Linked DNA regions of Ovis aries. The protein of the gene in region 4 interacts with the protein of the main gene of each other region in a pairwise test. Links are inferred from orthologs where the notes say so. Each region holds a gene or a part of one and is shown on either strand. Other genes may lie near its edges. The genes, in order: PLN, MAL, EMP3, EDA and SEC22A.

Region 1 (4,299 bases), on a different chromosome or scaffold from region 4:
TAAAGAGACTTGAGAAGAATACTGGAGATTAGGTTTATCAAATTCTATGACCTAAATGGTTCACCTGCTAATCAAAGCACTATCTTTGATCATTAATAATTTTCTAAAAACATTAAAGTAAATCATAATAAATAATTCACTGTTTAGCTTCACTGATTTATTCAAATGGTACTCATTTTGCACTTAAGCACTAGAATACAAAGTAAGCCCGGGAATTTTTATACTCGTGAACAGGAAGTCTAGCAGGGGGAACAGGCACGCAAATCAACATTATAGCACAGCCTGCTAGCCACATCTTGATACAGGCAGCACTAGAGCCCTACTAAAACCCAACGGAGGTGATAACCAATTCTGCCTTAATGAGTAATGGAAGGTTTCATTAGGAAGTGATATTTAAACTGGACCTTAAGGATTAACTGAAGTTTGCCTGGCAAAGAATCAAAGGTAGAGGCAGGGGGAGGGGAGACATTCCAGGCAGGGCCAGAAAAACATGTGCAAAAGACAATCATAAAAGGGAATGAAGTATTTATGGAAAGGTGACACGTTTCATGTGACTAAAGTACCGCTCCCCAGTGTTGGGGGAGGGGAGTGACTTCATGATGAACTGGCTTGCTCTTCCTTTTCCATGTTATATCTCACAATAACTTTAAAATTCAGGGCTTGTGCGCCATTTAAGTCCTAAAACTTCATAAAAATTAAGTTCAGACAGGAACTACCAATGCTGATTCTTTACAGTCTTCTAGGTTATACTCTGTTATGTAAAGAGACTAGTCAAGTTTACATAAAAAAGTAATAATCTTCTCCACAATTACCCACCAGTAGAAACCCACTACATCTATAATAAGCAAATATAAGCTGAAACAATTTAAAGAACTTTTTTCTTAAAGAAAAAAGAAAAAGCCTTTATTTCTTTATTTGGATCTCCTCACTACAGGCTAGTACTATGAAAACCGCAGGGTCTTCAGCCAATAGAGCCAAGCTGAAGTGCTGAAACTATACAGAATCCAACCAAACACTGTATATCATGTGGTGTCTTTGCAATAGTAAATGAGTTCTAACCTAATCTCAAGATCAGGCCTAAAGATCTGCTGTCTTTACCAGTCTCTCTTGCAAAATACAGCTAAAGACTGAGATGGGTCTTCATGAGATGTACAGCCACTAGGGAGAAAATGAAACCAGGCAGCTGGGCTAAGGCAGTAATATCTTGATCGGCAGAGATGTCAAGATATGTTAACAGTTATTATCTCTGGCAGTTAATTATGACTATTTTTAAATTTTCATTTCTAATTTTTCTTATTTCAAAATTTACATAGAAGTATCCTGATTGACAACAAATATTGCCAAACTATTACCTCTGGGCACTTAACTTACAACTAATTTTTAATCTACTGAATATACCTAATTTTCTACAATGATGTACTGTTTTAAGTTTTGTTTTATTAATCAGCACAGGTAATTGATCAGGCAGCAAATAATTAATTAATTAGGCAGAACAGCCTGTGGGAGCTCTGAAAGAAAGCAAATGCAAACACTGTTCTTAAGTATAGGCCCTTTGCAAATGGCAACTATGTGTGGTAGACAGTGAGACAATGATGATTTTATTACTATGCCATTTGAGTCTGGCAATCTTTAGTACTTAATATCATCCTGTTAAAATGCTACTTGAAGTAGTATATTTTACAAAGCTATAAAATCATCAAAACAAATGAGAAACATTTCAATCTACAGTTCTGGTAAAACACTTCTCATTGAACTATTTTATTTTGGAGTGAAGTCAACATCTGTAGAATAACTTATTGATGCATCTTCTTTTTATAAAGTTTGCTCTGGAGCTATTTATACACTGATGCTCAGAACAACTGTGCTCACAGAGAAAACAGTCTTAATGAAATAACACGTAAGAACTTTGGCCCAAGGGAATAGCCCAAGACAAGCTGCATCCTAACCAAATTATACTTCCAGTCATTTTGAGAGAAAGAGGACAAGACTGAAGTTACTATACCCCAAATATAAGATATCATGGTACCATCACCAAAAAAGACAGAGCCTGAGCAATACAGACTAGAGGTATTTGATGTCGTAAATACAAATTAGGTTGAGGAAGAGGGATGAACACAAAACAGTGTTTTACCTGTTCAGGGGATAGGTTACACCTACGATCCTAAACCATTTACTACTTTTACATTCCAGGCTACCTAAAAGAAGACGCACTTGGCTGGCAGCTTTTTACCTTTCTCTTGAGCGTTTGAAACTCCAGGCTCCCTGCCTTCCTGGTACCATGGATAAAGTCCAGTACCTCACTCGCTCTGCTATAAGAAGAGCTTCCACCATTGAAATGCCTCAACAAGCACGTCAAAACCTCCAGAACCTATTTATCAATTTCTGTCTCATCTTAATATGTCTCCTGCTGATCTGCATCATAGTGATGCTTCTCTGAAGTTCTGCTGCAACCTCCAGCGCTGCCACTTACCGCCATCAGCTTAAAATCTGTCATCCCATGAAGAAGGGGAAACAATACTATATAAGAGACCACTTCCTAAATAGAAGAATTTCTTTGTGAAAAGGTCGAGATTTGGAACAGAGCAAATTGTTAGCAAACGTATTCATCTGCTGGATGTTGTAAACATAAGAAGGGCTTTATTTTCAAAAATTAACTTTAAAGTGACTATAATGTAAGTGTGCATAATGTAACTGTTAATTTTCTAAACAGACCTTAAGCTTCTATCCCAAATCTTTCCTAAGGATGAACTAGGAGTTTAGTTTTGAAACTGCACTGCTAATAAGCTCACTTCATATATAAAGCATCAGCTTCACTCTTTGGGATAAATATAATTTATATTGTACTGTAAAAGCCTCTTGGATGATTTATTGAGTATTTTTCAGGTCCTCACCAAGTATACCAAAATAATCATTCAAATGAAATATCATTTGAAATAGCCCTTGTTTATCATCATACAGAAGTCTCCATAGTAACTCTATCAGACCCTACACTCTAAAACAGAAATTATACTTTTTCTATAATACCCTAACATTTTAAGTTTATAAGAATTGAGTAAAATCAAGCAAGACCATACCCTTAGACAGATAAAACAACTAATTTTCTCAAAGAATTACAGAATTTTAATATGTGCAGGTAAACCATAAATCTGTTCTCACCAGGACTTTATGATCAATAGACAAGAACTGTTGGTTAATTTAACATCTGACAGTATGATTAGCCATAATTACTAACACACTAACAGAATAGAACCTAATCTTCATTTAAAGCACTATAGCTAATTACCTGAGTCAGAGCACATAACTTGCCACTGGAATCATAAAATTTTAAGATTAGAATGATTTTACAGGTTGTCTTCTATTTTAATCTCACACTCATTGTAGGCAAGCAAAATAAGAAAAAAATATTACTTCAAGCATTAGAAAAAAAAAATTTAACTCTTTCTCCAAAATCAACAAATTCTTAAATTTTACAGTAAAATTTTTATCCCACTACTGTTCATGATAGGGTATAGCTATTTTCCTTAATCTATCAACCAGGTGGTAAACACCTAAGTGGTAGGCCACTCTACTACACTAACCAGCAATACTAATCTACAATGATTTTCTTGCTGAATACATTTCAAGTTTCTCTTCATTTAAAAATATCTTCCAACTACTGATAGAACAATAGAAGTAAAAATTGGTCATTTAAAAATATCTTCAAACAACTCATAAAACAGAAGCAAAAACTGGTTTGGAAAATATATTCACCAAAATGTGGTACATTGACTTAGTTTAAAATTAAGTCTAAAACAGTTTACACCTATATTACATAATTCAACAGTTTTTACTACAGTTAAAGACATACTACCAACATAGTAATTATTAAAGGAGTAGATAAGGAATATGTAATTTACTATAAAATTTGCCAAAATATGGTTAAAAAAAAAATTGGAAAAGTCAATCTTGACTATGGCTCGTAACACAAATGCTACTAACAAAATAGTGAAAGAAATATTACTGCTTTTTTAAAATCCCTGAGAGGTACTGGAGATAGAAAGGGGGATAATGTTGCTTCACTGATACCTGAGAACAGAGGTTTCATACTGAGAGGGATTGCTTAAGCGAAGTCTCATCTATGGATTGGATATCCCTAATATCAACCAGAAGAGCTTATAAACAAGAAGTAATTAATGCATTCACTTCACTGGTGTCAATAATTACCCAAGCAAAAAGTTACCAAGTTCTATAAGTAATTAGCTGCAATGATCCTAAAAACAAGTGGAAATTTTGAAATAATAGGTTCTAGCCTTTTCATTA
Region 2 (6,269 bases), on a different chromosome or scaffold from region 4:
CTTCCTGCTCAGGCTCTCCTCAGACTCCCCTGTCTTCTGCCAGAACCCATCTGTGCTGTTTCCTTCTGCCCTGGATGCCTCGGCTTCCCCCTGCTCCCCCAGCAGAGTGGCTCTGACCCCCTCAGGGATTCCCATATCTATCCTGCGACCTCGCGGCACGAGGAGCAGGGCCTGACCGTCCTCCAAGGCCCGGTGCCTGCTGCTCCTCTGTAGGGAAGGCTGCCTCCTCCCTCCAGGTAACCACTGCTCACCCCTCAAGGGTCCCTTCCTCCACAAGCTCCCTGGACCCCAAGCCCAAGCCGGCTGGGCTGGAGGGTGCTCTTGGGTCTGCCTGCACTCTCCTCCCAGCACCAAACCCTTTACACATTTATCATGCAGTGTTTGATTGACCGCGCTCTCCTGTTCTCTAGGGTGAGCTTCAGAAAGGCAGGGATCCACACCCTTGCCAGCATTTGTTATTTGTGTTCTTTTCCATGATAGCCATTCTGGAAGGTATGAGGTGAGACCTCAGCATGCTTTTGATTTCCCTGATTATGTTGAGCATCTTTTCATGTGCCTATTGGCCATTTCCTCTTTGAAAAAATGTATATTCAATTCTTCAACCCATTTTTAAATTGGGTTTTTTTTAATGTTGAGTTATAGGAGCTGTTTAGATAAGTTGGATATTAACTCCTTTTATCATTTGCAAACATTTTTCTCATTCAGTGGTTTGCCTTTTCATTTGTCAATGGTGGCCTTTGCTGGGCAAAAGCTTTCAAGTTTAATTAGGTCCCATTTGTTTATATTTGCTATTATTTCCTTTGCTTTAGGAGACAGATCCCAAAAAGGACTGCTACAATTTCTTTCAAAGAATGTCCTGCCTATGTTTTCCTCTAGGAGTTTTATGGTTTCTTGTCTTACATTTCAGTCTTTGATCCATTTTGAGTTTTGCGTACGGTATAGTAGAATGTGTGTGTATCATTCTTGTATATAAGGCTGTCCAGTTTTCCTAGCACCACTTACTGAAGAGACTTTCTTTTCTCCATTGTATATTCTTGCTCCCTTCATCCTAGATTAATTGACCGTAAGTGCATGGGTTTATTTCTGGGCTCTCTAGTCTGTTCCATTGCCAGTTTTTGTGCCAGCACCGTACTATTTTAATGACTAGCTTTGTAGTATAGTCTGAAGTCAGGATGAGTGATTCCTCCAGCTCTGTTCTTTCTCAAGATTACTTTGGTTATTTAGGGTCTTTTGTGTTTTAGTGCATATTTTAAAATGATTTGCCCTAGTTCTGCAAAAAATGTCATTAGTATTTTGTTAGGGGTTGTATTGAATCTTTAACAATATTAATACTTCCAGTTCATGTTGGCAAGAATGTGAGGAATAGAGAACCCCCGTACACTGTTGGTGGGAATGGATATTGATGATGCAGCCACTTTGAAAAATAGTATGGAGGTTCTCAATATACTAAAATTGGAACTATCATCTGACCCAGCAGTTTCGCACCTGGGTATACGTCCGAGAAAACCAAACCACTCCTCTGAAAAGATACAAGCACCCTGATGTTCACAGCAGCATTATTTTCAATCGCCAAGGTGTAGAGGCAGCCTAAATGTCCATCAACAGGTGAATGGATAAAGAAGCTGTAAGATACACACCTACACACATACACACACAATGGAATACTACTAAATCATAAAAGAGAAAAAAACCTTGCCATTTGCAGCAACGTGGATGGACTTGGAGGGCGTTAGACTAAATGACACGTCAGACAGAGAAAGGCAAATGCTGTGTGATATTCATATATGAGATCTAAAACTATACAACAAACTAGTTAATATAATAAAAAAAAAGAAGCAGACTCATAGATACAGCTTTCGAGTGTGTGGGTTTTATGCAAGGGGCACAGAGGCAGTGGGGACTGTCAGCCGTCACCAGTCAAGAGGCCCAGTTGCCCTCCATGTGGCCCGGGCATGTCCTTCTCCACTCCGAGCCTGGAGGTGGGGTGACACCCGCTGGAAAGGTTCCTGGAGATTAAATGAGGTCACGTGGGCAAAGAGCCGAGGGGGTGCTGGGCACTTAGCAGGCCCTCAGCAGTGCTGGCTCCCTCCACGGTCCAAGATTCAAGGCAGGTGTGATTGCCTAATCCATCGCCCAGCAGTTCCGGCGCCGAGTGGTGCGGAGCCGGGTGGTGCAGAGTTCCAGGCTCCAGGCTCTGAGGGCGCAGGGAGAAGGCATGGGTGACCATACCTGGTCTCAGCAGTCCCTGCAAGGCAGGGAACTAGTCCCACGGTGAACTTGGATGCACATTAACGCGCCCGGCAGGAAGATAAAAGAGCCCCAACTCAAGAACAGTTTGCACCATGCTGACCCAAGAGATGCCACGGTGCCTGCCGGGTTTGGGGAGCCAACTGTTGATGGTGATCACTCTTAAGAAATGCCGATCACCTGCAAAGAGTGTGAAGCGCCTCACCGAGGCTTCCGATGGAAGGTGGCGCCCAGACGTGGCGCTCAGGAGTCAAACCCCAGTCTCAGCCTTGGAGTGTTTCAGGGCTGTGCCCATGACGCTGGGCAGGGCCCTTGGGGCGCGCCCCCACGGTTTCGGGCGGGGACCGGGCGGCGGCGGCCGGGACTCCTCCCTCTTCGGCCAGGGCGCCCCTGCTCTTAACCCGCGCGCGGGGGCGCCCGGGCCACTGGGCTCCGCGGAGCAACAGAGCGGCCAGCGCAGAGTCGGAGCAGCGCTCGTCCCGTCCGGTTCCGAGGCCGTCGCCAGCCCGCCAGCATGGCCCCCTCAGCGGCGTCGGGCGTCAGCAGCCTGCCGAGCGGTTTCGCTGTCTTCACCACCTTCCCGGACCTGCTCTTCATTTTTGAATTTGTGAGTGTCTGGCGCGCCTGGCGCCGGCGCGGGCGCCGGGAAAAGCAGGTCGGGATGGGTCGTGGAGTGCGCTCTCCTCTGCTGCAAGCCGCGAGGGTCCCTGAGCCTCTGGCAGCCGCAGGAGGAAAGGCTCTCCCCAGCCCCCACCCCGCGATGCTTCTTTGGCCCCTTCAAGCCCACGATAAACCGTCTCCGAGATTTGGGTGGAAAAACCAAACTCGCAACACGGATCAAATGTCGGAAGCTGGCCCGGGTCCACTGGGAGCGCACCGGGTCCAAAGCTGCGCTCCCAACCTGCTTCCCATGGGCTTATTGGGATCGGCGTCCTTGTAGAGGCACCCGGCTCTCCCCAGGGTTAGGATTTTGTTTTAAAGTTTAAAAATCAGCAAAAGACACCTGCGTATTACCAAGCGAAGGGTGGAGATGGGGTTAGTGTCATAGGAGGAGCCGAATCTGGGTTATTTGCTCTTGAACGTTTCTGGTGAGTGAAGGAATTGGCCACCACTTTGATCTGGAAATAACACAACAGGCTGTGACTGCTCTGCCAGTCACTGTGCCCATTGTGGAGTGTGGGGGAAGGAAGAGGGGCCTGAAAGCCGGGCCCTGCCTTGGCTGACCTTGAGCATCCAAGGGCTTCTGCACCTGCTGTTGGCCCCTCCTTACACTGGAGCCCCAACCGGAGGCTGTGGGAAAGCGCTTCCTCCTCGGGGCTCCCGGGAAGTGCTCTCTGCCGCGAGGCTTCAGACCACCCTCAGCCTAAGCTCCCCAGGGTGCCAGGCCCTCACCTGGCAAGGGACGGGCTGTACTTCTTTCCTGAGTGTGGTTCCATGAGCCAGAAGACTCCTGTCCCTGCGCCCCCACCGCAGTAGTGGCTGCCTGGAGCGTCAGCCGGTAAAGGAAACATCCAACCTGTTTAAAAACGGGACCTCAGCTTCTTACCTCCTGCTCGGCTGGGGAAGGCATGAACAGCAAACCCAGCAGGTTCTGTTACCCATGGAGGGTAGAGGGGGAGCACCCGCGGGGAGAGGGCTGAAGGGGTCGAGGTTGCCTTGTGGCGCCGTATCACTGAGCTTGAGCCCAAACCTGCGTGTATACAGAGCAACTTTAAATCCTGGGGCTAGCCAGCATCCAGGAGGGGAAGTCTAGAAGAAGCTCTAGACACCTGTAATCTCAGCCACACCATTTGTAGGTGGCGACACCCAGTCCCAAAGTGGAAGGGGTTTGCATTCACTGGAAAATTCCGTCCCCAAATGGCTCGTCTCTGTGCTTCTACTCAGCACTTAGCCTGAAAATGAGCGTGTATAGTAAGCAATAGGTTGTTCCTTCAGAGGCTACTGTATTTACGCGACAGAATTTGTTGATTGTAAGTGATGAAGGCTAAAGGTGAGGTGTGTGATGGGGCAGAAAGATTTTTAAGCCACAGAAGGACTTGCTAGTATCTCTTGAGTTGCTCTAATGAATTGTTTACTCTGCCTTTGTAGCTGTTTGGGAAGCATTATAACAAGAAGCATAAGAAAATGCATTGAGAATTCCTTGGTGGTCCAGTGGTTAAGAATACACCCTTCTACTGCCAGGGGCCAGGGTTCAATCCCTGATCCAGGAACTAAGATGCCACAAGCCATACAGCATGGGTAAATAAATAAATTTTTTAAAAATGTGTTCACTGGGCTTCATACAAAAGACTCTGGGACACCTTCCTCCTCTTGCCCTGACTTGAATAGGTGTGTGAGCATGCAGTATTCATAATAGTCAACCAGTGGGAACAGCCCAAATGTCCCATCAACAGGTGAACAGATAAACGCATAGTGATATTCCATGCAGTGGAATATTACTCGACTGTAGCAAAGAATGAAGTGCTGGTACAGGGTGATAAACCTGAAAACACGATGCTAAGTAAAATGGCCAGATGCAAAAGGTCACGTAGTATTTGGTTCTACTTATAGGACATGTCCAGCATGGGTAGATCTCTAGAGACAGAGCGCAAATTGGTGGTTTGCCAGGGGCTGAGAGGAGAGAGAAATGGGGAGCAGCTTAATGGGTATGGAGTCTCCTTTGGGGGTGATGAAAACGTTCTGAAGTTAGATCGAGGTGGTGAGTGCCCAGCATCGTGAAGGTATTAAATGCTGCTGAACAGGCCAATTTTAAACGGTTAGTTTTCTGTTGTGCCGACTTCATTTTCACTTTTTAAAAGTTGAAAACTATTTCAAAAATGACAGAGAAGTATACATACTTTAATCGGTGTTCATGTAACTATCACTCAACTTTGTTATGTCTTAATATTTTTCCTTATTTACTCTCAGTAGTAAGGAAATAGAGCTTTCAGATGACATCTAAACCACCTGGATATTCTGCTATTCTCTTACTCTCTTCCCTTCAGCCTCAGGACCACCACTGGGCTGAACATGTGTTCAGTGTTAGACTTTTACTGCACCCCTAACTATTTATGATCACACCTGTGTGGTTTCATATTTTCCCGCTTTATAGAAAGGATGGTACACATCCTTCTTCAACATGGGTTTCATACAACCTTGTTCTGAGGTTTATACACACTGACACTCTTTATTTGGTCTTTTATTGATGGACATTTGGGCAATTTCCAAATGTGATACAGCAGACGGCACTGCCAAAGAACATTCTTGTGTTTGCTCCTGTACTTTGGGGAATTTCTTTCAAGAACACAAAGAGATTTGACTCACTGGGTCATAGCGATTGCACACCCTCATTTTCCCAAATGTTAGCACACTGATGTCCAAAATGGTTACTCCATCTCATAAGCGGGGTTACCAGGAAGCTGATGGAGCTTAATTAAGCTCTGGACCCCTTCTTGCTCAGGCCCCTTCCAAGACTCTGGCTGACTTCGCATTCCTTTAGAAAGAAGGTCTCCATACTGTATAACCCTCCTGACTCCCACCAGCAGCTTATGAAAGTCCCCATTGTGCTTCATCTTGCCTCACTTGGTAGAGTCAGACTTCGTAATTTTCTGCTAGTCCAATGGGTGTGAAAGGCTTGATTATTTTTTAAATCTGTGGTCAAGCAAGTTGTTGATTACTCACAGTCCATATTCTCATGCTTGACCTCCCAATAGCCTGGGAGGTGCTGCAGTAAAACTTTCCGCCTCCAGGTCTGCAGGGTGGAGCTCTGCTGAGCTCTCCCAAACCAGGAAACTGCCCAGGAGCAGGGAAGGGTGGTAGCTTGGGTGGAGCAAGGCAGCTCTTCCCTAGGCCTGCACCCCTACCCTTGGGCTCCTGCCCTCTGAAGGCTGTGGCAGACCCTGTCTCCATAAGCACCCCAGAGCCACAAGGCCCTGCTGCTGCAGCAGGCAGCGGGTCACAGGTGTACACCCCTCTCCAGGCGCAGGTGGAATGTCAAATGTCCCCCTCCCTCAACAGCTCCCAGGGCTGTGCTCTGGCCTGTT
Region 3 (6,290 bases), on a different chromosome or scaffold from region 4:
AAAACCTTCAGCTGCCGGAGCTGTCCGCGCTCTGCGAGGCGGAAGTGGGCGGGGCCTAGGGCGCTCCGCACCGCCCCTGCTTTCCGGTCACGCCCTCCCGGGCACGCCCCCGAGCTCCGCAGGGCACGCCCCCCCCTTTGACTGCCGCCTGCTGCCCACGTGGGCCTTCGCAGAGCCTGCTGTCTGTGGGCGCCGCTCCTTGCAGGCTGGGTGTGCCCAACGCCTGCGGTTTCCTGTGGGAGGAAGAGGCCCGCGGGCGCTCAGCTCGTGGCTTTGGAGGCCCAGGAGGGGAAGATTCCACCACCGCCCTCCGCTACCCTAATTCTCCCCCTTCTGTAGGGCCCTAGCATGGGGGACCCCCTGCCCGGAACATCTCCAGGGTACCCCAACCTGGCGCTAATTCCACTCTAGGAGTTTGATTCAGAGTCCTAGCTTCCTGTTCTCCACCTCCCCCGCTCAAATTCCATCTCTATAGCCCCTGGTTCCCAGACTCCTCCCAGGACTCAGGTCCAGCCCCTTTGCCTCCTTGAAGAACATAACGATCTCTAGTCCCTCATTTTTCCCCCGGTGACCCAGGCTTCCTAATTTACTTGGAGAACTGAGTTCAGACCCCCAGTCTCTGTCCTTCTCAAAGATGTAACTACTTTACCCACCCCCAGCGACCTTCATTTTGTACTCCCAAATTTTTAGACTTGGGACCCAATGGACCCAAGCATTTGTCCCTTCTCCAAATCCCAGACACCTCATCTCCCATGTCCCAGTGTGTCATGTAACATGCATGTACAACAGTGCTTTCTCTATGCCAGGCACTCCTCTAAGCATTGCTCCTTGAGGTATTTACTATTATTATTCCTATTTTACCGATGAAGACACTGAGGCATAGAGAGATTAATAACCTGCCCCAAATCACAGATAATGAATAAAGCCTATGTCATAGTGGTAACAGCTTCCAGGTTAGGGTTAGGAGTACCACCCAGTCACTGAACTGCCCCTCCCTCACCCCCTCAGGGAGCCCAGATAACCAACCACTCTCCCTCCCTCTCCCTGTGGCTCCCTCAGATACCCAGCCATCCCATCATCCAGTTCCTTTCCCCTGTGGGGACCAAGATTTCAGTCCTCCAGCTCTTAATTCCACATCAGGACCCCAGACACCTGGCTCCCTGTCCCTTGCTTTTCACCAAGCACCCAACCCTCCATAGAGACCCAGGTACATAGTGGTAATCACTCCCCACACTTATTCAATAATCTAAAAATAAATAATAATGATAACAATAATAGTTATTCATAACATTAAGTCCCTGGTACTGCACTTCTGTTTAAAACCGCCAATGGTTTCCCACCACCCTTAGAATAAAATCCAAACTCCTCCCCTAGGCTTCAAGGGCTCTCTTTGAATTCCCTTCCTACCACTCCCTCTAGTTCCCTATATTCCGGCCACACTGGCTCTTCTGTCTGCTCCCCAAACAACTTGAGCTTGTTCTCCAATCCTGTGTCCTTCCTCTCCCTCCAGCATTCAAATAACTCTTGTCTTCAAGTCTCATCTCAGAATGAGGTTTCTCCTTAGAAAAACCTTGCCGGATCACCCTTTTAAAGTTGCCTCCCATCATCAGCAGTGTCACTGTATTTCATTTCCTTCAAAGCCCTACCACCACCTGAAGTCTAGCTACTGTACTGATGCGTCATTCTCTCTCTTGCTCAACTAGAAGGTAAACTCCATAAGAACAGCAGGGCTCGCGTCTGTTTTCTTCATTATTAACTCCTGGTCCATAATAGATGTTCAATAAATGTTTGATGAGGAAAAGAAAAAATGTGTTAGGGGTGTTAGTGCAGTGGTATCGCCTTGTTTGTTTAGAGTAAGTATCAGAATTGTTATCGTTGCCGTTAGTATATAGTCAGCAGTATAAGTAGTACTGTGCCCAACTCTCGATTAGGAAACTGAGGTTCAGAGAGTTGGAATAATTGGTCAAGGTCCCCTAGGCAGGAAACGGTAGCCCTGGGTTCTTAACTTCCACCTCCTGCCCCCTTCCGGAGTTCCACACTTCCCCATTTCCCATCCCAATTCCCACCAGGGTGCCAACCCCACAAGTCCTCAGCCCACTCCCCTTGGCAGGAATCTGGTCTCCCCGCCCAGACACCCATCCCCCTGAGGATCCAGTCCTAAGCCCCATCAGGGAAAGCAGATGTCGATTCCCGGGACAAGTCCAGGAGCAGAGGCCTGAGAATCAGATCCTCCCACCCGATATGCCTGCCCCACCTAAGGGCCCCAGCTCTGTTTCCTTTCCTCCAAGGACGTGTCATCTCCACCGCAGGACGGGGAGCCCCAGAAGATGCCTGTTGGGGCAGTGGGTGGGGGCCCAGAAAAGGAGGAACGCGAGTGACTGGTCCCTCCCTCTGGCTGCCGACCTCAGCTGGGCGCGGTGGGTATAAAAGGGTCAGTATATATTGAGAAGGCCAGAGAAAGAGAAACCAGGAGAATGAGGAGAGAGGGAGGAGAATCGAGGTACAGACGGTGAGGACAGGAGAGAGAGACAAGAGGCAGAAGGCAAGAAAGAGAGAGAGAGGGAAAGAAAGGGTTCCGGAATTGGAGGGAAGAAAGAGAGAGAGAGCCAGAAAGGGAGGGAGGGAGAAAGGCGGTGAGAGGCGGGGGCCTGGAGAGGGTGGAAGGAGGGAAGAGAAGGGCGGGGCACGGAGGCCCGATCAAGGGACCGGACTCAAATCTGACTTCTGCCGCTCTCGGTAAGTTTTCAATCCGTTATTCAGCCTGTGATTTCTTTCTTTACTTGGGTGTGCAGCAGTTTGGAAAGGAGACCCCCACCCTCACCCCCTTGCCAGATTGGGTGAAGCTTGGAAATCCTTGTAATTTAAGAAGTGAACTCTTGGCACTTGGGGTGGAGGCTTGGAAAGAGGTGGGGCCCGACAGATTTTAGGGTTCCCAGCAGAACCCCCACCACCCAAAAACTTCCTGCGGTTTTACTCTATGGCTGTCCACTCCCCCCGGAAGACCCTGAGGTCAGGGCTTCTCATGAGAACAACCGAAGTCTGGAGACACTCCAGCCCCCACCCGCCACCACTCCCCTGCCGCCCTTTCTGGACACTGAAGGGTCATGAGGGCTGGCTCCTTCTTTTCAGGCCCTCTCCCACCCCCAGCATGGATCTTGTCCATTTTCCCTACAATGTGTCCAGTGGACACTAGTCTGGCGGCAGGGCAGGGTGGGGTGGGGACCTCGTGGGCATAGACAGGGGCTGGGGTTTCCCTGGTGCTTGGAGGCATGCGGCAGGAGGGTGAGATGAGTCACCGACCAGATGACTCACCGGGTCCCCCTTCCTCCCTCCACCCCAAGAGAGGAGTGGGGTGAGTCAAGATTGTCCATCTCTGGGGGCAGCCCCCAGCTTCTGATATATCTGAACAGGCAGCAATAGGAATTTTTCACATCCTTGCCCATATGTCCCCAGGGACAGGGCTCTGCAGAGATGGGAGCCAGATTGCTAGTCCTACTCATTCCTGGACCCAAGTCTATCACTGGCCCCCTCCAGGCCCTGGGAAATTCATGAGTCCGGGCCACCAGCTCCCTCCTCCTTCACAACCAGGCATCTAGCTCCCAGCCTCCTCCTCCCTCAGACCAGAAGTTTGGGGCTCCTAGCCCCCATTTCCATTAGACTTGGGAGTCTGGACTCAGCCCCTTTCCTCACCAGGATTCAGGCATCTCACCTGCCCCTGTGCCAACAACCTCTTGAAGTGACCGTCATCTCCCTACATCCCACCCCAGGCTTCCAACACAGCCATGTCACTCCTCCTGCTGGTGGTCTCTGCCCTCCACATCCTCATTCTCATTCTGCTTTTCGTGGCCACTTTGGACAAGGTAAGCCAACTTGGAGGACAGGGGCCTCCTGTCCCTCTGGCCCTGCCCCTTCGCCCTAGCACTCCGTCATGAGCTCTGCCTTCACCCTACCCTTTCCCCTGATGAGCCCCCAACCTACACTTTCCTATTAAATCCATGCTTTCCCATGGCACCTTGCCCTTTCCCCAACCCTGCCTAACCTCCCTGACTTTGCCCTTGTTCCTCTACCCATCCCAGTCCTGGTGGACTCTCCCCGGCAAGGAGTCCCTGAATCTCTGGAATGACTGCGAATGGAACAGTAACAACAAAACATGGGACTGCAGTATCGTCAGTGAGAATGGTGAGGCCTGAGGGGCACTGGAGATGGGTCTGCAGAAGGGAGGGATAACCCCAAGTCTCCTCCTGGGACCAAGGATTGGGAACCCCCCAAGGTTTGAGTGGGCGGGTTATGGGTCCCCATGCTGAGTGACTGAGGCTGACGTATGATGACCCACCTTTCTGAACGGTAGGGGGAAGTATGCCCGTGTTCTAGAGTGAAGTGAAAGTCGCTCAGTCGTGTCTGACTCTTTGCAACCCCATGGACTATATAGTCCGTGGAATTCTCCAGGCCATAATACTGGAGTGGGTAGCCTTTCCCTTCTCCAGGGGATCTTCCCAACCCAGGGATTGAACCCAGGTCTCCTGCACTGCAGGCAGATTATTTGCCTGCTGAGGTTAAAAACCCAACTCCCGATGATTTAGGAGTAGAGGCCACATGCTATAGGTTTAAGGAATGGGGGGAAAGCTTCCAAGATTCTGAGAAGACAAGATCATGTTCCCAAAGTCCTAAAGAGGCAAGACAGGTGTTCTGAATGGATGGCTGGGCCCATGCTATTCAAGTTCCAGTGGGGTGGACCACGTTGAGATTCTAAAGAGGTGAGACTGAATCCTTGCAAGGTTCAAAATAAATGGGGTCAGATGCATCTGAGTTCTAAAGGGGCAGAGCTGCATCCGCTAAAATTTCTAAGTCAAAGAAGGTGGAAGATTAAATGCTTTTTCTGTAAGAGCAAAGGAAGAATTTCTGCTCTTACAATTCGATACCATGTCATACTGGAGGTAGCCAATGCAATAAGGCAGGAAAAAGAAATAAAAGGTATAAAACATGGGAAACGAAGAAGTAAAACTGTCTCAATTCCCAGTGAGCATGTTTATATACAAAATCCTAAAGAATCTGCAAATGGCTTCTAGAATTCCTAAGGGGATTTAGGAAAGTTACAGGGATCAAAGTTGATATAAGTGATAACTACTGAGTATATGAGGTTGAACGACTCTAAATGAAAGAACGGTTGGTGGGAGCAATGACGAGCAAGCAGGCGGAGCTGGAACCCTGGACCTGCTGTAACTTCCTCCTCTATCTCCTTATTGCAGGCTGGCTGAAGGCAGTACAAGTCCTCATGGTGCTTTCGCTCATCCTCTGCTGTCTGTCCTTCATCCTGTTCATGTTCCAGCTCTACACCATGCGGCGAGGAGGGCTATTCTATGCCACTGGCTTCTGCCAGCTTTGCACCAGTGAGCACGGTTCCCCAGGGAACTGAAAGGAAGGGAGGAGGCCTGTGAGGATGGGGGGAGGGTGGGGGGAAGAATGGACACCTAGTGAAAGAAAACAATTCTCAACAACACAAAGACCACCTGAGGTTCTGCCTTTGGCTACCTCTCTGCCCCAGGGACTTAAGGAACTTGTAGTTTTCAGTGTCTCAGTGGTGGTTTGTGGTGTGGGTCTCTGAGTCATGGGGCAACTGGCACTTAGAGCTTCAAGGAGCCAGGGCTGGGGAAGGGGTTGTGGACGGATAATCTAGATCCCAGGAACAGAGGGAGGCTAGCAGGGATAGGTAGCTAATTAATAACACCAGGCTGCTACGGCTGCTGCTAAGTCACTTCAGTCATGGCTGACTCTGTGCGACCCCATAGACGGCAGCCCAGGCTCCCCCGTCCCTGGGATTCTCCAGGCAAGAACACTGGAGTGGGTTGCCACTTCTTTCTCCAATGCGTGAAAGTGAAGTCGCTCAGTCGTGTCCGACTCTTAGCGACCGCATGGACTTTAGCCTACCAGGCTCCTCCATCCATGGGATTTTTCCAGGCAAGAGTACTGGAGTGGGGTGCCATTGCTTTCTCCAAATAACACCAGGAGAGAACTCTAAATCATAATAGTAGTGGTCTTATAATGTCAACCAGTTGCTTTTTTTGTGTGGACCGACCTTGTATCAGACACTTCAGGGACTTTTACGTACTTTTCATTTTTTATGACTTCAGGTGCAAAGAGCAAAAGTTAATCATAGTTATCATTTGGGGGAGCATTACGTTTCTAGGTTTCCTCTTGTTCTACTGATTTACTACCTGTGTGCTTGGCTTGTGTAAAGTCACTCAAAAATATTCCTTGAATGGATGGATGGATGAGTAGGTATTATCGTCCCA
Region 4 (5,588 bases):
CCGTTTAGAAGGCAGCAGCACATTCAGGTGTTAGGACTGCCAAAAAATACATAAATTCTACTTTTAAAAAATGAATTAAGAAAAATCTTTGGGTCAGGACCCAAGCTGTGTCAGGATGTTTGGTGGGCTCAGCAAATGCTCGAGGACCCACCTTCTCTGACTACTCTCCTGGGAGACCCTTCTGCTGGCTTTGTCGTCTTTCTGTCCATCTGTCTGCTTGCCCCTCACCCCACAGAAGCCCCAGCCTCAAGGCTCATTCACCTCTAGCTCTGAGGAGACACACTATTGGAGACACAACAGGGTGGAAGTGGATGGGCACTGGCCGACCTGGGAAGTGAGCCCTGGGCCCGGACAAGGACACAAACAGAGGGAGAAAAGTGCTGGGACAGAAAAGAAGCAAGAATAACAGAGAAGCAGAAGGTAGAGAAACAAATGGAAGAAAGAGGAAGGAAAGACAGAAATTTTCCTGAGGTGGAGAGAAGGTCCGGAAGAGCACTCTTCATTATAAAGCCAGTGGTGTGGGGAGGGAGGGGTTCTCAGCAACCCTGGAACTGACTTTTAAAAATATACTGAGACAGAGTTCGGTTTTGGCAGTAGAACCAAGCAGCTCAGCAGGGAAGCTAGGGCCTGGGGCCCTGCAGGAGGGGATCAGATGGCAGGGTGTGGGAGGGGCCTCTTTTCAGTTTTCAATCGTATCTGGCTAAGGAAAAAACCCCAAACAGCCCCTTCTGTCTCTCCTCCTTCCTTTCAACTCCCTCCCCGAGTGGGTCTTCCCTCCAACCTCCCCACCCAGGACTTCAGCCATTGGCTGGTCTGGGCTGGCTCCACAGTGCCCCTCTGTGGCATGCAAAGGATCTGCATTCTGGATATAAGAGTTAGGCCTGAGACCGTACTCACTTCTACCTGACTATAGATGAAGTAGGTGCCGTCCACCAGTACCTCCAACTCCCCGCTGCGGGGGTGTAGTTTAAACACCTTGGGGTTCATGGTGATGCGAGACCAGTCATTGAGTACTCCACCTGAAAGATCTCAGTATGAGAGAACGGCAGTCACTCAGTACATGTCAGAATCATCTGGGCAATAGAAACAACAAATTTCAAGCTGTACACAACCCCCACCCCCATTGAGATATAACCCGGATAGCCCAGGAGGCCAAGCTTTAAGAAGAACATCCAGAAGCAGAGAAAGCGGTCTGTTTGTAAACTGGCAGCCAGGCCTACTTCAGGCCCCTGGGGTCTGTATGTCCTTTCTCTTTCCTTTTCTGACTTCTCTGTCTGGAAGGATCTTTAACCAACACCTTCCAACTAGAATTGGGGGTGGTTGGTAAGAAGAGGGTGGGCATGCTGCCCTATTTTCTTTGTTGTTCTGAGACCTGCACAGGCAAAATCCAGACACTGAGGGGCAGGCTAGGTCTTATTATTCCATTTCATCTCACCAGCCATAGCTCCTGAATCCCTATTTCTTCTTGTCCTTAACAGATTCCTTTTAATAGTTCCTCCACACTCATTTCTTTCTGGAAAGTCTCCATGGGCCCCCAGTAAACCACTTGGCCCAAGGATCTGTCTACTCAGAGAACTTTAGGGATCAGGGTTAAGTCAGACTTCATGGCAGCCAGACAAGGAACCTCCAGTAATAAGGCCATGTAGGGCAGAAGGATCTTTATGAGAGTCAGGGATCAGCTGCCATGCAGCCCTAGAACCAGCCAAATGGATGGAGAGGGTGTCAGAGCATGGAGGCACTGCTGCAAAGCATTTCTCATTAATACCCCATTGCGAGTGGAGAGGCCTGTGAGGCAGGAAGAAGGGCTTCCCTTTCCATTCTGTAGCAAAGGGGATGTTCCTTCCCACCCTAAGAGGAGGGAGTTTAGGCTTGGGAGCCTTTCCCCTTCAAAACCATCCATTCTTAGAGATGCAGACATAGAGAACAGATTTGTGGACGTGGGGGTGTGTGTGCAGGGGGGACGGAGGGGGTGGGATAAATGGAGAGAATATACACTGCCATCTAGCCAGTGGGAATCTGCTGTATGACTCAGGGAACTCAAACCAGGGCTCTGGGACAACTTAGAGGGCTGGGACGGGGTGGGAGGTAGGAGAGAGGTTCAAAAGGAGGGGATATATGTACACCTACGGCTGATTCATGCTGATGTATGACAGAGACCAAAACAATATTGTAAAGCAGTTATCCTTCAATTAAAAATAAATTAAAAAATCCATTCTTCATCCAAGAAAACATGTTTTGAAAGTCCATCCTTGGCTAGTCTCGGGAGGTCTGCCTTTCCGAGGTGTGAGGAAAAGGTGCCCATCTTCCCTTGAGGTGATAAGCAGACGGGATAGAGTTCAGAGGAGACGCTCTGGCTCTGTCCCTCACAGACGACCATTCTGCAGGAAATCTTCTACTCTTGACCCCTCACTCTTGATTCTGCTGGAACTAAAGATCAGCATAGACTACTACTGGGGATTGGCCCAGAGGGGTCGGAACTAGTCTTGTTGTATGATGGGAGCAAAATCAGTAGCTTCTGGCATAACACTGAGGCCACCCAAACAAATCTATTTCCTGACTGTCTCACTCTTCCCTGAATAGATGGTGATCATGGCCTACCCAGTGTCCTGGGTCTCAAGGCACTTGGTCCCAGCAGGACAGTTTGGGTTTTGGTGCCATTATGTTCTTACTTATGTTTCTGAGGCAATGAAGTCAGGCATCCAGGTGGCAGTCCGAGAGGTACCCAAGCCCAGTCACTAAGGAAGCAGAGCACAGCCAGTTTAGGACTGACTGGGTTCTTAGAAGCTGCTGTCCCCAGGCAGCAGGTTTCTGACCCTTCATTTACTGCTTTTGTACTCACAGCCCCTCCCTTCTACTCTAAGCTCTGTAAGCATCTGGCATCTTGGCTGGCTTGCTGCTTCCTGAGGCTTCTGGGGGTTCATGCATTTTAGGCTTTGTATACCCTGGGGACTGGACATTATTTCAAAGCACTGTTCTTTAATGAATGTTCATGTCTCTTTGGGAAGAAATGAAGCTAATCACTCAGTAGAGTATACACACACATCACTGAAGTAGCATAGTACAGTGGAAAGAGTCAGAGAGATGTGGTTTTGAATCCCAGCTCCTACTCTTAATGGAAATCTTGGGCCAGTTAATTAACCTTTCTGAGTTTCAGTTTCTGTCTTCGTAGAAAGGAGCTAATGCCTACCTTTGTTGTGAGGATCAAATCAAATCAAAGACAAAACTCTAAAGAACCATACAACCTTAAGGCAGTAGATTTATTATGGTGTTGTCCAATCTCTCTGGCACTCTTGTTTCCCCACCTTTGAAATGCAGGGATTACATTAAATGTAGGATTTCTAACCTCCTTCAATCCACCCCCTTTTTTTGTAGACACTAGCATCTCATACTTCCTACAGAGTCTAACATGCCCCCCACTTCCCTGAGAGAAATGCCCCTCGACCCTAGACCCATCACACAAGAAGATTTGATTTTATGTATTTCTACTTTCTATAATTTGTATTGTGAAAATGTTGATTAAACTATACATATTCCCAATGGTGACTCTGATTCAGCCTCCACTTTCCAAGAATCCTTGGTTTAGACAATGTCTCAAGTCCCTTTCAGCTTCTTGTTTTTTAAATCTGTGCTTCTAACTGCAATTTGTAGTAACCAGTCTGAGGACAAGCAATTACTTGAAACAGCCAGCAGAGGGCAAAATGGAGTAGAGAATGGCCCGTAGTGTCAAGGGTACCTTCGAGGTCTGGGAGGAACTAAGCTGGGTGGTTATTTGAAGGCTGTGGGTAAAGGTGGTGGCAGGAAAAAACTCTTCTTAGGGAGAGAGCCTACTTTGACTCTTACCATTCTTGACTTGAATCGCTGACCCTTGGCCCTGTAGATGCACCACGGCTGGCTGGGAGGATAAGGACAGAGAAAGTAGTCACTGTGAGAAATGGCTGCTTGCTCAGCCACCAGTTGCCACCTTCTAGTCTTCATTTGTATCCCAATTCTGACCCCTCTCCCCTGTCTTGGGATGCGAGTGGCCACATTTCTACTAGAGGGTAATATGATTTTATAGCTCTGCCAAATGTAATGCCTCTGAGCCTCATTTCCCTGTGAAATGGGGATTCTGAGAATCTCTGTCTGGCTTCTCTACAGAGATGTCTGAAGATCAACTGAGGTGACGAATATAAAATACCCTGCAAGCCATCCAGCACCGTGCAGCTGTGTAGATTGATTGCTGTGGCCAAACAGCTGTAGTGAGAGAAGCCGTGATGAGACAAGGCGAGGCAGTGGAAACTGCCAGTAGAGATGGATCAGGAAGCTCAGAGACTAGGGAGGAGCCCTTCAGGCTGTGAAGGCAGAAGGCCAGGCTGGGCTTGACCTGGAACTGGTTGGCTGATTTTCAAGAACATATTCTTAAACTTCTAAGCTGCTGACATCAGGTGGTTGGAATGCCGACAAGGTGTCTGGTGTAGTTGGGGAGGCCCAGGACCAGGTGAATAGACCTCACTGCCAGCTCATGTCAGCTGACTATTGGGCTTGGCTGTGGTGACCCTCTGTCTCCTAGGGAATGGGGAAAAATAGCCACAGCTCAGTTCTCTTGCTAAAAGCAGGCCCTAGGGCAAAGTTTTTCTATTCATGGGAGGGGGCTGTGAATGAAAAGCCCCCAGAACCTCCAGGGTCTCCTCACAAAAGAAAGCCTCAGCAAACTTAGCAGGGAGCAAACTCAAGGGTGGCCTTCCCTTCTTCCCAGCAAGACAGCAATTCCCAGCCAACCTGGTTTTCTCGAGTTCCAGCTTTATCAGCAGCACCTGCAAAATAGGACAGGCCAGTCAGAGGGCATGCTCTGTCTACTTGCTTCTCTTCATCTAGGCAGCCAATGGCACTGAGCTTTTGCTCCCTGTCTGAGCCAAGCCAGGCTCAGTCTGAGCCTTTTGCCAAGCATCAACTGAGCCTTATTTTCCACAACTCAGAGCTGGAGGGAGTCAGGGTGCGGGGCTCTGGAGTGGGAGATGACACCCCTTTCTTCTCTGACTTGTCCCTGACCTGCATCTTCAATGCGCCCAGCACCCAGCAGGAAACTGGCCCCTCGTCAACAATGGCCCAAGGCAAGTGCCACTGAGCACCCGTGGTGACAGAGGAGAGTGCATTCCTGCCACCGTGGGACCCCAAGACAATGGTACTTGCTTCTTTAGCCTTTTGTTCTCTTTCTATTAATTTTCTCTGTAGAATGCATTGCCATTTGTACACATCTTGCTTCTTTAATTGTCATTCTCCTGTACGACATAAATTCCACCAGTCAATATATCTCTTGCACATAGAAAGTATGCAATGAATATTTGTAGAAAGATGGGATGAAAAAAAATTCCAAACTGCATTTCTTGGGGCCACAATGACACTGATTAGCTCTGTTTGAACTACCAGTCAAAGAATATGAGTCTTGTGGCAGTATTCTTGGACCCAGAGAAATCAGCTGTGAAGAGTCCATTTCTGTAAAAGCCCCAAGATGAGGGGAGCAGGAGAAGGAAACAGCAGCTGACCTAAGCCCCGGCAGTCTGACCCCTGTCAACTCTGACTAGGCAGGTTTGGATCTGCATCTGTGCCTT
Region 5 (6,125 bases), on a different chromosome or scaffold from region 4:
TACATTTGAATCAGTTCTAATGAGGTGGATGCAACTAGAGCGTATCATACAGAGTGAAGTAAGTCAGAAAGAAAATCACCAATATAGTATACTATTGCATATATATGGAATTTAGAAAGATGGTAACGATGACCCTATATGTGAGACAGCAAAAGAGACCCAGATGAACACAGCAAAAGAGAACAGTCTTTTGGACTCTGTGGGAGAAGGCGAGGGTGGGATGATTTGAGAGGGTAGCATTGAAATGTGTATATTATCATATGTGAAGCGGATCACTGGTCCAGGTTCAATGCATGAGAGAGGGTGCTCAGGGCTGGTGCACTGGGATGACCCTAGGGGATGGGATGGGGAAGGAGGTGGGAGGGGGGTTCTGGATGGGGAACACATGTGCACCCGTGGCTGATTCATGTTGATGTCTGGCAAAAACCACTAAAATATTGTAAAGTAATTAGCTTCCAATTAAAATAAATTAATTAATTTTTTAAAAAGTACTAGCTGAGATCTGGGAACTGGGGTGTAGCTTTGGAGAAGGCTATACTAATTGTGATGCACTGGACTGGGGGAAGATTGAGTGAAACGAGAAGGATTTCATGCAGCCATAGGTTAGCAGGAAGGTACTTGGGAGATAGAGCCTGAAAAGAGGTGAAAAGGGTACTAAAAACAACCAGAGTTTATTTTGCAACTTTACCTGTGCCCCGCATCTTATCAACAGCCTTTGGTATTTTTATTATAGGTACTTGTACTGCATAGTATGCATAAGAACTCTGGCTCCAGAGTAGATCATTCACACATCTAGGAAGAAGGCCTTCAACACATACTCAATTGCATCAGTAATTTGTGTAACACCTCACAGTTAACGAAGAGTGAGGGAGGTATAACCTTCATTTTACGGATGAGGAAACTTTCCTCAGTGTCACACTGCTAATATATGGCAGTGCTTAAATCTAAGTCTCTTGTATATCTCTACATCACTGTGCTCCTCCTATAATCAACAAGGGGCAAGAAGCCAGTGATACAGGAATTAGCTATTCATTCTGAAATAACAATTTTTAAAAACAGCTTATATACTATACAGTAAGTATTATAGTTAACAGGGTGTACTATGAAACCAAATTGCCTGGATTCAAAAACTGGCTCTACCGTTTAGTAATTGTGTAAACTTGGGCAAACTGTCTTTTTATGCTCAATACCCTCATCTGTCAATTTTGACTACCAATAGCACCCATCTCATAGGACTGTTTAAAGATACTAATAGTATCTACCACATAATAACATGTAAAGAACCTGAAACATCACCTTGCAGACGGAAAGTGCAATATTAAGCTTTTGTTATTATTGACTGTCCTCTATTTACCACTTTATACACATTACCTCATTTAAGCCTTCCAATACCCTGTGAGGTAGTTATTATCCATTCCATTTTATCTCTGAGGAAATTCAAGCCCAGAAAAGTAATCTATTCAATCCTGAAATGAGCAAGTGACAGAATTAAACTCAAGCATAATTCTAACCACACTCTGAAATGTTGCCTATCAACATATTTAAGCTTCTTACTCAACTACATTGGAGAAGGAAATGACAACCCACTCCAGTGTTCTTGCCTGGAGAATCCCAGGGACGGGGGAGCCTGGTGAGCTGCCGTCTGTGGGGTCACACAGGGTCGGACATGACTGAAGCGACTTAGCAGCAGCAGCAACTCAACTGCATGGACAGGAAGGTCGAAAGTGCCTGTTTGTTAAGACCTAGACTCATTGGAAAAGAGCCTGATGCTGGGAAAGATTGTAGGCGGGAGGAGAAAGGGACAACAGAAGATGAGATGGTTGGATGGCATCACTGACTCAATGGACATGAGTTTGAGCAAGCTCTGGGAGTTGGTGGACAGGGAAGCCTGTGCACTGCAGTCCATGGAGTCGCAAAGAGCTGGACACGTCTAAGCGGCTGAACTGAACTGCAGGCTCCATTAATACACCAGTATAAAATACACTGAAGATTTTTAAGAATCAATTATGTACACACGGGCTTTCCTGGTGCCTCAGATGGTAAATAATCTGTCTGCAATGCAGGAGACCCAAGTTTGATCCTTGGGTGGGGAAGATCCCCTGAAGGAGGAAATGGCAACCCACTCCAGTATTCTTGCCTGGAGAATCCTACGGACAGAAGAGTCTGGTGGGCTACAATCCGTGGGATCACAAAGACTCAGACACGACTACCACTTTATAATCACTTTATACACATACACACACACACAAACACTAAACTAATTACGGTTCTCAGTATAGGCAATGCCCAGATGCCCCTTAAATTAGGGTTGTGTTGTGTGCTTGGTCCCTCAGTCCTGTCTGACTCTTTGCAACTCCATGGACTGTAGCCTGCCAGGCTCTTCTGCCTATGAAATTCTCCAGGCAAGAATACTGGAGTGGGTTGCCATTCCCTTCTCCAGGGGATCTTCCTGACCCAGGGATCAAACCCAGGTCTCCCACATTGCAGGCAGGTTCTTTACCATCTGAGCCACCAGGGAAACCATTATCTTAGCACTTGAACAAACGCCAGTAACCTGCAAAGGGACTCAGAAAGTTTTAAGTGGCTGTTCCACCTGTTAGCTGAGATCCCATCATCTCCCTCCTGGTGGCTGACACCTCACCCCTAGGCTTTGCCTTGGCTGAAGCAAAGCATAGAAGGAACTGATTCTCAAGCTTTCCCACTGCCCCAGGTGGATGACCCAGGAAACTAAACGGGGCGGAGCAAAGCTGCTGTTTTCACTGTCAGAGAGATTAAAGGCAGCTGAGGCTCGGCCTCCTATTCCGGAACCCTCAGCTACCTGTCGAGCCAATTGCTTAGGTCTCCCTTATGCCACATCGTTTCCTAAGTGCCATTAACAGGACCTTCGGTTTCTGTGAGCCAACGCGGGCAAATCTCTGGGTTCAATGCTTGAATTAGCATTGAGGTTGAACTACCTCACAAAAAAACTAAGTAACCCTGCCTAAAAGAAAATAGGAAGTGCCGTGTCAAGCTCTCTGGGCCACCTAAACAGCCTAGGAGGGCCACCGTGTTTCTGACACCTGGGCGCCAGGGAATGCCGCTTAACCGCTGGCACCTCAGAGCGACTGTCCCCCCCTCCTCGGCCCCCTGCCCAAGCTGCCCGATATCCCGGCAGGTCAGCCGAAGGGCAACCGCCGTTCGCGCGGCCCCAGTGATCCCTCAAGTTGAAGGGAACGAAGTCCCAGCAATCCCACCCCTCCAAAGCTCCACGACTCCGAAGACTCCCGCTCCCACGCCACGAACTTAGTTCCCGCCCGGGGTAGGTAGGTCTGTAGTCCCAACGGCGAGAGTCAGGACCGTGGCAGGAGAAAGGGAGAGAGAGGCGAGCAGCAGATCAGGGTTCGGGCGACCCCAAGAAGGGACGAAGGACTGGGAGGGGCCGGGCCGTACCTGTCGAGCCGAGACCCGCCGCTCCGAGTGACGCGCTTCGCAGTGCACTGTGGGGCCGGGGAGTGGCCTCTCGGCGGGGCAGCCTCGCGTGCAACGTGGCTGGCACCCAGCGGGATCAAGCCCCGCCCCCGTTCCATGCTCAGGCCAATCAGGTTCTGGGGGAAGGACACACTTACCCGCCCGCTCCGGAGGAGATTGACAGCTTTTCACGCTTCTACGCCAAGAGAGTGGCAAGTCCTGGATTGACTGATTATACTGTCCCTCGCAAATAAGGCTGATCTCCGGTCTGCCGCCTGTACCTGCAGGTAGTTTGTTTCTTATGCGGCCCTGCAGGAAACACTTATAGAAGGAGCATGAAAGCCCCACTCTGAGTGAACAAGAAAAGGACCTGTCCCATTATTACCACGCCGGGGAAGGCATCCTACCTTGACAAAGAAATGCCAAATGCTGTTCCTGCAGTCCATCCTAGCTTTTGCATCGGTCATGCATTATTAAACAAGTGCTTACTGACTGCATACTATGTGCCAAGCCCAGGGTTAGGCATTGGGTTATAGGAGTGAATATAACTTTCGGTGGATCTAATGTGTGATAGGAGCAAGAGATGTTAAAGCATAAACATTACGTAATTATAAATTGTGATCAATTCTATGAAGAAAAATTAGTGAGTGCAACGATAGATTAATAAGGACTATGGGGAAAGAGTTCTTTGAAGAAGTGCCTTTGAAGCTCCAGGCACATGAAAGAGCCTTTAAGAATGTTGCAGGCATAGAGAATGTTATGTTTGAGATTGTTGGGGCATGAAAGAATTTGATGTGTTCTAGGAACATGTCACTGAAAGGAAGTCAGTGGGGTTGAGGTGTAGGAGCAAAGGAGTCGAAATGAATCAGAGGCCAGACTATGCAGGCTCCTCCTGGCCACATTATAAATTTTAGACTGTATTTTGGAATGTATCTTAAGGTCAATGGGCAGCTAATAGAGTGTTAAGTAGGGTCAGATTTACATATTTATTAATAAACTCTCACTTAGGCTATTTGTGGGGAATAGTTTGAAAGAGGAGAGAAGGGCTTATTGGAAGTCCTGTTTGGAGGCAGTTGCATTAGTCAAGGCCAGAGATGACGGTGGCTTGAGCTAGGGTAATGACACTAGAGACAGAAAGATTTGGGTAATTTTGAAATACTTATTTATAAATTAGAGGTGGAATCCAAAGGATGTAATAAAGAATTGGTTTGCCTAGGATGATAAAGAAAAGCAGAGCATTAAGAATGCCTCCATGACTTACTAGATGAATTAAGAACCCATTTACTGACTCAGGGAACCTAGAAGGAGGAGCAAACGGTCTTGGACATATTAAGCTGGACATGCTTGTATATGGAGATGTCAAACAGATTTGGAGATGTAAGTCTGAAGTCCAGAAGCAATGTCTGGACTAATTATATAAATTTGCTGGTTGTTGGAGTGGGTTAACCAAGCAATTCCACTCCTAGATATATGTGGAACAGAAATGTATTCATTTGTTTACCATAAACATATATAAGAATATACCACATATATAAGAATTCTCATAGGATAAATAAACTTTAGAATATTCACATAGTAGAACAGTATACAGGAAAGAGAATGAACAATCAACAACTACATACAAAACATGGATGAATCTCACAACTGTAAAACTGACTGATAAAAGCCAGACACAGAGACTGTATACTACTTGATTCTACTTATATAACATTCAAACAGAGACAAAAATAATATATGGTAATAGAAGACTGTTGGTTACCCTTAGGTGGCATTAAGGTTTAGAAAGGGCCCCTAGGGGCTTCTGGGGTTCTAGTAATGTTTGATCTGGATGTTAATTACACTAGTGTGTTTGATTAATGAAAACTCATAAGGTTGGGAATTCCATGGCAATCCAGTGGGAACTCTCCCTGCTTCTACTGCAGGGGGCACAGGTTCAAACCCTGATCAAGGAACTAAGATCCTGCATGCTACATGGAGGTGGCAAAAAAAGAAAAGAAAATTTGTCAAATTGCACACTTAAGATACGTAATTTTTAGTATGCATCTTATTATTCAATAGAAATTTTATATTTTTAAAGTGTTATGGTGATTCAGCCATAAATAAGTGACTGGTACCAAACCAAACTAACTTTCCTACCACAAACAATAGAAAACTGAACCAAACCTATGAGACAAGTATCTCTTCAGACATTGGACAGTAGGCACAGTAGAACTGTGATCTTAGAAAGAAGGAAAGCAAATAAGATGAGCCCAAAGGTGTCCCTGGAGAAGGCAATGGCACCCCGCTCCAGTACTCTTGCCTGGAAAATCCCATGGACAGAGGAGCCTGGTGGGCTGCAGTCCATGGGGTCGTGAAGAATCGGACACGACTGAGCGATGTCACTTTCACCTTTCACTTTCATGCACTGGAGAAGGAAATGGCAACCCACTCCAGTGTTCTTGCCTGGAGAATCCCAGGGATGGGGGAGCCTGGTGGGCTGCAGTCTATGGGGTTGCACAGAGTCAGACACGACTGAAGCGACTTAGCAGCAGCAGCAGCAGCAAAGATGTCCCCAGATCTTCTTTCTGGTAGTATTTTCCAAAGCACAGGATTGAAGAAAGCTAAGCAGAATACAGTACTCTCTCTAACTGAGGAGAGTGAAATTTGAATTATGAGAGATGGAGGCAACTGAAATTTGC

Evidence for each region.
Region 1: the proteins of EDA (region 4) and PLN interact in binary tests that used the Homo sapiens proteins (3 or more experiments, as listed by UniProt). The link is inferred for Ovis aries from reciprocal best matches to the Homo sapiens genes EDA and PLN.
Region 2: the proteins of EDA (region 4) and MAL interact in binary tests that used the Homo sapiens proteins (3 or more experiments, as listed by UniProt). The two-hybrid records come from large-scale screens. The link is inferred for Ovis aries from reciprocal best matches to the Homo sapiens genes EDA and MAL.
Region 3: the proteins of EDA (region 4) and EMP3 interact in binary tests that used the Homo sapiens proteins (3 or more experiments, as listed by UniProt). The two-hybrid records come from large-scale screens. The link is inferred for Ovis aries from reciprocal best matches to the Homo sapiens genes EDA and EMP3.
Region 5: the proteins of EDA (region 4) and SEC22A interact in binary tests that used the Homo sapiens proteins (3 or more experiments, as listed by UniProt). The two-hybrid records come from large-scale screens. The link is inferred for Ovis aries from reciprocal best matches to the Homo sapiens genes EDA and SEC22A.

What each region holds. Positions count from the first base shown.
Region 1 is NC_056061.1:19,648,129-19,652,427, reverse strand, and holds part of PLN (cardiac phospholamban), read left to right. Parts: intron 1-2,190; 5' UTR 2,191-2,278; coding exon 2,279-2,437; 3' UTR 2,438-4,299. UniProt on the Homo sapiens protein: Reversibly inhibits the activity of ATP2A2/SERCA2 in cardiac sarcoplasmic reticulum by decreasing the apparent affinity of the ATPase for Ca(2+).
Region 2 is NC_056056.1:104,621,849-104,628,117, reverse strand, and holds the start of MAL (myelin and lymphocyte protein), read left to right. Parts: upstream 1-2,671; 5' UTR 2,672-2,761; coding exon 2,762-2,854; intron 2,855-6,269. UniProt on the Homo sapiens protein: May be involved in vesicular trafficking from the Golgi apparatus to the cell membrane. Plays a role in the maintenance of the myelin sheath, and in axon-glia and glia-glia interactions.
Region 3 is NC_056067.1:54,792,194-54,798,483, forward strand, and holds the start of EMP3 (epithelial membrane protein 3), read left to right. Parts: upstream 1-2,285; 5' UTR 2,286-2,431; intron 2,432-2,680; exon of another isoform or gene 2,681-2,736; intron 2,737-3,693; exon of another isoform or gene 3,694-3,767; 5' UTR 3,768-3,782; coding exon 3,783-3,860; intron 3,861-4,076; coding exon 4,077-4,179; intron 4,180-5,246; coding exon 5,247-5,387; intron 5,388-6,290. UniProt on the Homo sapiens protein: Probably involved in cell proliferation and cell-cell interactions.
Region 4 is NC_056080.1:62,929,341-62,934,928, reverse strand, and holds part of EDA (ectodysplasin-A), read right to left. Parts: intron 4,794-5,588; coding exon 4,759-4,793; intron 3,893-4,758; coding exon 3,841-3,892; intron 1,029-3,840; coding exon 898-1,028; intron 1-897. UniProt on the Homo sapiens protein: Cytokine which is involved in epithelial-mesenchymal signaling during morphogenesis of ectodermal organs. Functions as a ligand activating the DEATH-domain containing receptors EDAR and EDA2R. May also play a role in cell adhesion.
Region 5 is NC_056054.1:188,412,611-188,418,735, reverse strand, and holds the start of SEC22A (vesicle-trafficking protein SEC22a), read right to left. Parts: upstream 3,459-6,125; 5' UTR 3,430-3,458; intron 1,467-3,429; 5' UTR 1,377-1,466; coding exon 1,372-1,376; intron 1-1,371. UniProt on the Homo sapiens protein: May be involved in vesicle transport between the ER and the Golgi complex.